3 linked regions of the Saccharomyces cerevisiae S288C genome follow. The protein of the gene in region 1 binds, or shares a complex with, the protein of each later gene. Each region holds a gene or a part of one and is shown in the gene's direction. Other genes may lie near its edges.

Evidence for each region.
Region 2: LSM8 (region 1) and LSM6 share a complex: the UniProt entries of both Saccharomyces cerevisiae proteins name them as parts of the spliceosome U4/U6-U5 tri-snRNP complex.
Region 3: the proteins of LSM8 (region 1) and LSM2 are in contact, whole or in part, in a crystal structure (PDB 4M78), measured with the Saccharomyces cerevisiae proteins. Residues at the interface, in NP_012556.2 of Saccharomyces cerevisiae: Met1 (codon at 2,153), Ser2 (codon at 2,156), Ala3 (codon at 2,159), Thr4 (codon at 2,162), Leu5 (codon at 2,165), Asp7 (codon at 2,171), Tyr8 (codon at 2,174), Ile16 (codon at 2,198), Val18 (codon at 2,204), Asp19 (codon at 2,207), Gly20 (codon at 2,210), Lys32 (codon at 2,246), Asn33 (codon at 2,249), Thr34 (codon at 2,252), Arg44 (codon at 2,282), Gly58 (codon at 2,324), Ser59 (codon at 2,327), Glu60 (codon at 2,330), Ile61 (codon at 2,333), Ala62 (codon at 2,336), Leu63 (codon at 2,339), Val64 (codon at 2,342), Gly65 (codon at 2,345), Leu66 (codon at 2,348), Ile67 (codon at 2,351); in NP_009527.1 of Saccharomyces cerevisiae: Phe4 (codon at 2,161), Lys8 (codon at 2,173), Val11 (codon at 2,182), Leu19 (codon at 2,334), Asn21 (codon at 2,340), Ile23 (codon at 2,346), Ile25 (codon at 2,352), Ser31 (codon at 2,370), Val32 (codon at 2,373), Asp33 (codon at 2,376), Phe35 (codon at 2,382), Lys39 (codon at 2,394), His53 (codon at 2,436), Leu54 (codon at 2,439), Gly55 (codon at 2,442), Ser56 (codon at 2,445), Val57 (codon at 2,448), Arg58 (codon at 2,451), Asn59 (codon at 2,454), Ile60 (codon at 2,457), Phe61 (codon at 2,460), Ile62 (codon at 2,463), Arg63 (codon at 2,466), Thr66 (codon at 2,475).

The regions. Positions count from the first base shown.
Region 1 is NC_001142.9:467,632-470,621, forward strand, and holds LSM8 (U4/U6-U5 snRNP complex subunit LSM8), read left to right. Parts: upstream 1-2,152; coding exon 2,153-2,482; downstream 2,483-2,990. Other genes in the region: TES1 (palmitoyl-CoA hydrolase), read right to left, coding at 1-650; REC107 (Rec107p), read right to left, coding at 924-1,552, 1,633-1,948; methylthioribulose 1-phosphate dehydratase MDE1, read right to left, coding at 2,599-2,990. UniProt on the Saccharomyces cerevisiae protein: Component of the nuclear LSM2-LSM8 complex, which is involved in spliceosome assembly. The LSM2-LSM8 complex plays a role in the biogenesis of the spliceosomal U4/U6-U5 tri-snRNP complex by accelerating PRP24-mediated annealing of U4/U6 di-snRNA.
Region 2 is NC_001136.10:1,228,849-1,231,769, reverse strand, and holds LSM6 (U4/U6-U5 snRNP complex subunit LSM6), read left to right. Parts: upstream 1-2,160; coding exon 2,161-2,421; downstream 2,422-2,921. Other genes in the region: GTPase-activating protein RGA2, read right to left, coding at 1-1,603; ATP17 (F1F0 ATP synthase subunit f), read right to left, coding at 2,854-2,921. UniProt on the Saccharomyces cerevisiae protein: Component of LSm protein complexes, which are involved in RNA processing and may function in a chaperone-like manner. Component of the cytoplasmic LSM1-LSM7 complex which is involved in mRNA degradation by activating the decapping step.
Region 3 is NC_001134.8:168,472-171,547, forward strand, and holds LSM2 (Sm-like protein LSM2), read left to right. Parts: upstream 1-2,151; coding exon 2,152-2,205; intron 2,206-2,333; coding exon 2,334-2,567; downstream 2,568-3,076. Other genes in the region: 60S ribosomal protein eL19 RPL19B, read left to right, coding at 338-905; RRN10 (Rrn10p), read left to right, coding at 3,010-3,076. UniProt on the Saccharomyces cerevisiae protein: Component of LSm protein complexes, which are involved in RNA processing and may function in a chaperone-like manner. Component of the cytoplasmic LSM1-LSM7 complex which is involved in mRNA degradation by activating the decapping step.

The DNA.
Region 1 (2,990 bases):
ATGGGAGGTCTCACTTTGACGAAATAATCCAGCTCGTCGGTGTGTCTTGCCGAGTAGAACATGTCCTTGGGGAATTGGTACTCCATGACTCCGTATTGAAACGCATCCACATACTTGCTCATCGAGGTTGCGTCTTGGAACCTGTCGGACAATGAGGCATACCTGCTCAATTTCTGTGGGTCCAGAACTTCTTTCTGGAAAAGCGAAGTGGCCTCTTCATAACGATGAGGGTCTGGCTGCTTACCTTGCAGGCCTGGAATCGTCTCCCAGTGCTGCAAGGAGTCGTGCTCCTTGGACCGTTGCACGGCAAATAAGATCATCGACGTAAATATCAACTTGTCGTGCTGATAAGCACTAACCTGCTTATGGATGAAATTTCTACCGTTTCTCAGATTCTGCACATGGTACGTGATCTTGGTCCGCGGATCACCACCCTTGATGAAATACGAATGTAGCGATGTGGGGAAGAAGTTCAATGGCACAGTATGCAATGACGCCAGCAGCGATTGTGATACCAGCGTTCCACCAAAAGTGCCCTTAGACCCTACGGGCGCGGCAGGCAGATACTTTGTGACAAAACTGGTAGGCGAAAGAGGAACCAGTTCCAATATTTTCTCTAGGTTGGACATGGCCATTTTGGAAGCACTCATTTTTATGCAATCTTGTCTTATCTTGTCTTGCTCATGGTGGATACTGAATTGAAACCCTTTTCTGGTTTATATCCAACTGGCGTGGTTTTTCATTGTAGGATGAGGCTCGGTGTTTATGCCGTCTCTTCCGAGGATGCAATCAAAGGCTCTCTCCTTTGTTGGGGTAGTAGCAAGTCCAATAAGCAACGCTTGTTTGTTGATTGGGCCGATTTACATAGCCTATACACTGCTGTTACATATGCCTGTGTAGAATGAAAAAGCAGGACGCCCGTTTCACAGCTCAGATTCCAGAGTGTCGGGTCTTAGTTCCTCCCAGGGAATAATGGTCCTGGCCGCACGCTTCAGCCGATGGCTAGCGTCATCATTGTCTTCGCTATTGTGGTTTTGGCTGGTGGATAGGGTTGGGGAGCTGGATCTTCTGCGTTTCATGGACCTTGTGACCATCATTCTTGGTGGCGGCACGGACTTCTTACGCTGCTTATCGTGGGCTTCGTCCATATCGTGCAGGAGTGTGGTGCCATTCAGAGACACATCCGGGCGATCGTAGGCGTGATCTGCCTTTTCTCGAAACGCCATCTCTAGAGCAGTCTGGCGGGTTTGTAGACTGTGCATGTCTTTGGATAGAGACAGGAGCACTTTATGCACGTCCTCCAGTTGGCTGCCGACGTTGAAGAGCATCTCCTGGGTGCACCTCATCGACTTTTCCGTCTCATGCTGCTTGTTAGTTACGTGTCGCGTTATCTTGGAATTATACCTGCTTATTTCTTCGACTAATACCTGCCTGTAGCTGGAATCCGACTTTGTCTTCTTCTCGTCGCCTTTCGATAACATTGCTGTTGACACTTTGTCCAGTTGGTTTTCAATCTGGGAAGCCAAATCCTTTATTAAGGTTTTCACGTTTCCTATACTACAGTTGTTAGTAAATGTGTTTTGGAAGAAAATGAATAAAAAACTTGAGGGTATGCACTGTGTTGGTACGAACCGTTCGTAGCAGCATCTTGTTCCAGTAGCTGGTTAAACTTGTTTAGCGATTTACATAATGTCTTAGAATTTTCATTTAAAACTTTAATTAGCTTGTCAGAGTTTTCCCTCAGCTCCATACTCTCCAATTCCAGTTTACCTGCCCATTCCAGTATCTGCTTGTCCGATTCCTCTAAAGCGCCTGCATTCGCTACTTTCCCACTGTGGGAGAATATAGATCTGAACGGTGATGATGTTTCTGTAATCATCAACGAGTGTTCAGAATTAGCCTCTGAAACATCTGTAGATATCTCGTCTGTTCTACCTCTAGCGACCATTTTACTAAATGTTTCTACACGTCTGCAGTATCCTTGTTTTGCTTGTTTTCCTTCTTTCTGTTCTTGTTGATTTTCCCTTTAAGTCCTGAAAATACTATCATGGCGTAAAGGGAAAAAAAAAAACTAATCTTACGTGGTTCTTATAAGATGGACCAGCAAGCTGCATACAGTACACCATACAAGAAGAACACACTATCGTGCACCATGTCAGCCACCTTGAAAGACTACTTAAATAAAAGAGTTGTTATAATCAAAGTTGACGGCGAATGCCTCATAGCAAGCCTAAACGGCTTCGACAAAAATACTAATCTATTCATAACCAATGTTTTCAACCGCATAAGCAAGGAATTCATCTGCAAGGCACAGTTACTTCGAGGCAGCGAGATTGCTCTTGTTGGCCTCATAGATGCAGAAAATGATGACAGTCTAGCTCCTATAGACGAAAAGAAGGTCCCAATGCTAAAGGACACCAAGAATAAAATCGAAAATGAGCATGTAATATGGGAAAAAGTGTACGAATCAAAGACAAAATAATATAGTTGCAATAATAGTAATAATAATAATAATAATAATAATAATAATAATAATAATAATAATAATACCATGTATAGAAGTATATAAATCATACAATAAATTTAAGCATTAACCCGTCACGGACTGGCCATCTTCAGATGCTTCTTCTCTTCGCCAATGCCACAGTCGGGAGGAATCCCCATTTGGTACATCTTTATGGCCAGCTCCATCAAATAATCGATGGCTTCGTTGAAAATTTTGGCCTTATCGATTGTCGGACCCCAAACAAAAATGCCATGTCTCCTCACAATTACGGCGCATGTGTCTGGATAATCTTTAAAAGTCTTGTGCAAGTCATCGATCAACTCGTCCTCATGCGCCATGTTTTCAATGATGGGAATCTTCAGCGTATCAAAAAACGATAGCGCCATGGGTTTCTTGGTCACAGGGTCCACCTTTCCGCTTGGAATTGCTTTGATTTGTTCGATGTTAGCAATCCTGAACTCATCGCCAAATAGCAAGGAGCATA
Region 2 (2,921 bases), on another chromosome or scaffold:
TAGAATTTTGCTTTTTGGATATACTGCCAAGGCTGCTTTGCGCTTTTTTGTGATTAAACTCCGGTACTGTAAAATTTCCATGTTGTGGTAGAGTATTGTATATTGTACTGTCACTTTGGCCTCTTGATACAGGATTTTTTTTGGCTTTTGATTTTCTTATATTTGTATGAGTAGAGGAAACACCCCAGCCAGAATGAGTGTCTGATTCCTGTATAGAAGTGCTGTGATGGGGATGCTTTGGGTCCAGCATTTCCGAAGTTTTACTTTTCAGGTTGTGAACAAAATTTTTGGACTTCAAAGAAAACGATCTTGAAAGTTTTTTGTTTGGAGAGGGTGCTACTTTTTTATGCGGCAATAAGTTATCTGCTGTTTGAGGCCTGCTGAAACTTCCATTATCAGACAAACGTAATGTCGATGAAGAGGTTGATGTTTTCATTTCTACGGTATCGGTTCTTGTAATCGGGGAGACATGATTCATAGATTTGGAAGTTGACGTTTGAATACCTTGAGATGATTTGTTATTTTCTTTCGTAGCTTCTGATAAAGTTAATGCCAGTCCATGCGGAGGTTCGACCTCTTCGTTCATTTGTACAGCCATAGGGCTGTTCAAAGGACTTGTAATTTTATCAGTGCTATTTCTGGGTGTGTTGACGATGATTTCATTCTCTTTGTTGTCTGTATCATCTTTGTCTGTCTCTTCTTTATCATAAATTGAAAAGAATCTATTCGCGTTCGAGTTCGAATTTGGGATCCTCGGATCCTTTACCACTATGGAATCTCGATTTGCTCTTTGTGGTTTTAATAGCCTATAGGTTACGTCTTCACCCATTTTGTTGATGTAGTCCTCATTATCCACCAAACTCTGCTCTTCAATGCTATTACTATCGTGTTCCAAAGTAGAGTTCAGAATGTCGTCAATAGAAACCGTCCTTGCGTGAGAAGATGTTTCCTCCCTGTCCTTGCTGTTATCATTATCATTATTGTCATTCAACGATGATTCATCTCTTTCTTGTGATACTAAAACTTGTGGAGTGAGCTGTTGATCCTCATTCGAGCTTACAAGGTTCTTACTTATTGCGGTGTTGTTTGTACTGACATCTGACTTACCATTTATTCTGGTGGGTGACAAGGGCCTTTTGACTGATCTTTCAGGAAGTTTTATGGGAAAATCTTCTTTCGATGAATTTTTTGTTTGATTTTCCAGTAATAGTTGTTTTTTTCTCAACAATTTCTCGTGACAATCCATACAACATAGTCCTCGTTTTGTCTTTGCATACTTTAAGTTCTTTATACGGTTGCTGCACCGACAGCATCTGAAACAATTGGAACAATAGGCCTCATTTGAGGAAGGCAGTATAATTGCTGTGTCGTCTATTTTATCGCCACAATTTGTACATTTATCTGAGCAGTCGTAACAAATTAATGTACCTATATCCAGAACCAAAAAGTCTGAATCTGCGTTCAATTTTTTGTCACATTTGTAGCATGTAAAGCACTGGTCATGCCATTTTTTGCTTTCTAATTCGTATACCTGGCTAGACGCGATTGATTTATTGCACCTCACACATAAAGACGATTGGTCATTAATAGGGTCAGCTGACATATTTTTTTCATCAAAATCTCCTTGCTCTTGAGATGCTACGTTATATTTCACTTTATTAAAAGTACAATGAACTCTTGGTAATAAAAGATAAGGATTAGAAACGCCAAGTATGCAAAGATGAAATGTTAATCAATAGGGGAGTCGACTGATCGATCTTCTGGCTAACATTCTCCAAGGAATGCCAATTTTCATATCTCGACCTGATACTGTTTACCCGAATGGGAAACTAAATTGACGTGCATTATCATTACAATTAAAAGTTACTGAAGCGATGCAACGATTTAAGCACAATTGAAGCGGCATAAATCGAATATCACTGTGGCTAATTAACTGGGTTATGTGTAGGAAATAAATGTTATTACGACTATAGGCCTTTCTTTTAGCCGTTTAATGTAAGATATTTCTATTATTAAAACATTTTACCCGGGGGCAGCTGTTCGTGTACAATGCCAAATAAGCAACGTCGCAGCAACCCATTCAATAATGCACAAGACGCCATATTAACGAGAAAATATGGCATTGCACAGTATAAGCAAAACAAGCAGAGATTATTAGTGATGTCCGGAAAAGCTTCTACAGAGGGTAGCGTTACTACGGAGTTTCTCTCTGATATCATTGGTAAGACAGTGAACGTCAAACTTGCCTCGGGTTTACTCTACAGCGGAAGATTGGAATCCATTGATGGTTTTATGAATGTTGCACTATCGAGTGCCACTGAACACTACGAGAGTAATAACAATAAGCTTCTAAATAAGTTCAATAGTGATGTCTTTTTGAGGGGCACGCAGGTCATGTATATCAGTGAACAAAAAATATAGACTTATCTCCTCTAATGGATTAATATGTAGGAATGAGCAAGTTGGTTTGACATAAAGTTGCATTTGCGAGTTTAGCACGGATACACACAAACACACCCATATCTATATACATATATATATATATGTGTGTGTGTATATCGAATAGGATCGAACAGTTTTATTTTAATGAATTTTTATGAATATATATTGTAAAGTTTACTCTCCGTCTCATTATTTTTATGCTTTACTAAAGAAAAAATGAATAGAGCCAGAAAGTGACGGAGTTTCCTTATAGACATATGAAAACAACGAAATTTTGTTCTATCACTTATGTACTCCTTTCAATTTCGCTCAAAAATTATTTGGATTTACCAAAAAGTTTTTCTTCTCTTTGCATGTTTGGTTTAAAAAGGCTTAAAATAAAGAATTTTCTACAAAAGTAAAACTCCACGTTCAATGCTCTTCCGCACCTTTATGATGTCTCAAATGAAAATAATATTCCATGGAATAGCCAAAGGCAA
Region 3 (3,076 bases), on another chromosome or scaffold:
CTTTAAATATGTTATGAATGTCATCCTTTGGAGAGAAATAGATAAGGAAAAAAATTGAGGATACAGCATCCGGTGGTCGCATAGTTGGTAGCAACATCCATAGAAGAACCTCAGATAAATTTCAAGCTTGTACGAATTGCCGCGTTTATTACAAACTATAGAATTATCGCAGCAATGGTACGTGTCTGTTCCTGCAAGCGTTAATTCGATTGATAGATAAAGTAATTCATTAACCTTTGCGAATATGCTCTTTACTGTTAGGTTTCAGGATTTTAAAAATGAAGCAACTTTACTAACATCAATATGCAAATAAATCTGCAAAAACTTTTTTTCACAGGGCTAACTTGCGTACTCAAAAGAGACTTGCCGCTTCTGTTGTCGGTGTTGGTAAGAGAAAGGTTTGGTTAGACCCAAACGAAACTTCTGAAATTGCCCAAGCCAACTCTAGAAATGCCATTAGAAAATTGGTCAAGAACGGAACCATCGTCAAGAAGGCCGTTACTGTCCACTCTAAATCTAGAACTAGAGCCCATGCTCAATCCAAGAGAGAAGGTCGTCACAGTGGTTACGGTAAGAGAAAGGGTACTAGAGAAGCTCGTTTACCATCCCAAGTCGTCTGGATCAGAAGATTACGTGTCTTGAGAAGATTATTGGCCAAGTACCGTGACGCTGGTAAGATTGACAAGCATTTGTACCACGTTTTGTACAAGGAATCCAAGGGTAACGCCTTCAAGCACAAGAGAGCTTTGGTTGAACACATTATTCAAGCTAAGGCTGATGCTCAACGTGAAAAGGCTTTGAACGAAGAAGCTGAAGCTAGAAGATTGAAGAACAGAGCTGCTCGTGACAGAAGAGCTCAAAGAGTTGCTGAAAAGAGAGACGCTTTGCTAAAGGAAGACGCTTAATTGATTACAAATAATTAGCTAAGAAATTACGTACCTTCTCATTGTTCTATATATGTTTTATTTTCTCTAAAATGTACCAAATACAATAATAGTTTCAAAGGAGCAGAGAAAGAAACTAAGGTGAAGGAGACTGTTCGTAGAATAAATGAATATTGATTAAAATTTTCTGAAAAAAAGAGTAATGAAGTCGTAGTCATCGCTAATGTACCGTAAGTGAGTTCTGAAAGGAGGCGGGTTCTTGTTTCAACGTAGCTTGTCTAGTCCTTTATGGCATCGTGTAAAATTGGTATATATTCAGAACACCCAGGAGTGAATTGATTTGCTGCTATAGGGGGAAATAAGATGTAACGATATTTTTTGTACTGAATTTCTTTGATGATACTGCCAGGATTGAGAGTTTGGTTGCCACATGTACGCTTAGGACACTCATGACTATCACTCCTGTGTATCGCTTCCATGTCGTATACCCACTGGCCGATTCTCACCCTCTGCATTGTATGATATTACTAGTATTGCTTGTTTCAGGGGCAAGAATTTTCACTAATACACTACCAGTTTATGATAGCTTATCTACATCCTTTTACTGCAAAATTATTCTGGATTTGCAAAATTATTCTGGATTTGCAAAAGTTCGGCTTCACTATCAAAGCGAAAGGTGACCTTTTTATCGTACCTTTAAGAAAGATAGGCATAAACAATACTGTGTGGCAGGAAAAGATTTGATGAAGACCAAAAACAGCATCGAAGTGCTTTGCTACGATTTCTTTTTTTACTCTCCGGTTATTTTGAGCTATCTTGTCATTATATCTTTAAATTTATATATTTCTTTGCCCAGCTTTTAAGCGTTCACTGGAATTGCCCATATGTTCACTAAATATAAAACTGATTATTCTCTCCTCTATATTGTCATCTCGGCAGAAAAGCTACTTTTAAATAAGTTTTAAACACCAGTTTTCTGCAATGATAAAAATAGCTACTTTGGATAGAGGCTGAGGCCTAACTAGTTGGAAGAAACTACTTAGGGATCCTTTGTACGGGAAACTTTTTTCCGCTGTTGTAATTGTATCATTGTCGTTGTTCATTTTTCAAATCCAGGCAATGAGGAAGTTTTGAACCAAAAAAAATAAAACCGAAAACAGAGCAACTTTAATTATAGTACGGCATATAAGGAAAACAAATCCAGAATTCAATAAAAGAATACAATACTTTCGAACACATATCTCACGCTGATAACACCCTAGCAAGTATGCTTTTCTTCTCCTTTTTCAAGACTTTAGTTGACCAAGAAGTGGTCGTAGAGGTATGTTCATAATGATTTACATCGGAATTCCCTTTGATACAAGAAAACTAACGGGTATCGTACATCAATTTTTGAAAAAAGTCAAGTACTAACGTTTGTTTACCCCTGTTTATTGTGTTTCCACTCAGTTAAAAAACGACATTGAAATAAAAGGTACACTACAATCAGTTGACCAATTTTTGAATCTGAAACTAGACAACATATCATGCACAGATGAAAAAAAATATCCACACTTGGGTTCCGTAAGGAATATTTTTATAAGAGGTTCAACAGTCAGGTACGTTTACTTGAATAAGAACATGGTAGATACGAATTTGCTACAAGACGCTACCAGAAGGGAGGTAATGACTGAAAGAAAATAAGAATTATGCAGTCTATCCTCATGGCATTTTTTCTCATTAGTTTTTTACACGAGTATCATTTTAGGATATTGAGATTATATGTATATGTATATATGTAGGCCATAAGATGATTCAACGGTTTGTATTAATTATCCGGTTCCGAGCGTTAGGAGAAATAACTTGGTGTGATATCTGTCAAGTGGTCATCCAAAATTTTTTTGGCCAGAGCGTAAGCTACGTAGACTGATGAGGAATTCTTTTTTTTTGCCCCATTTTATCCCAAGAAATTCATTATGAGGTTTTGTTTTGTTTTACTAAATGCGCTTGATGGAAAAGCGAATGTCATGAAATGCAGATCAACACTCCAATAAAAAAGTAAATGTTTTTAAAGAAGTATATCACGCTACAAAAATTCATAAGCACTATATTTCGAACGTTAACCTAAATCTCTCCCACTAAGAAAATGGATAGAAATGTATATGAAGCCTGCAGCAATATAATTAAGGAATTTGGAACACATGTAGTGAGCG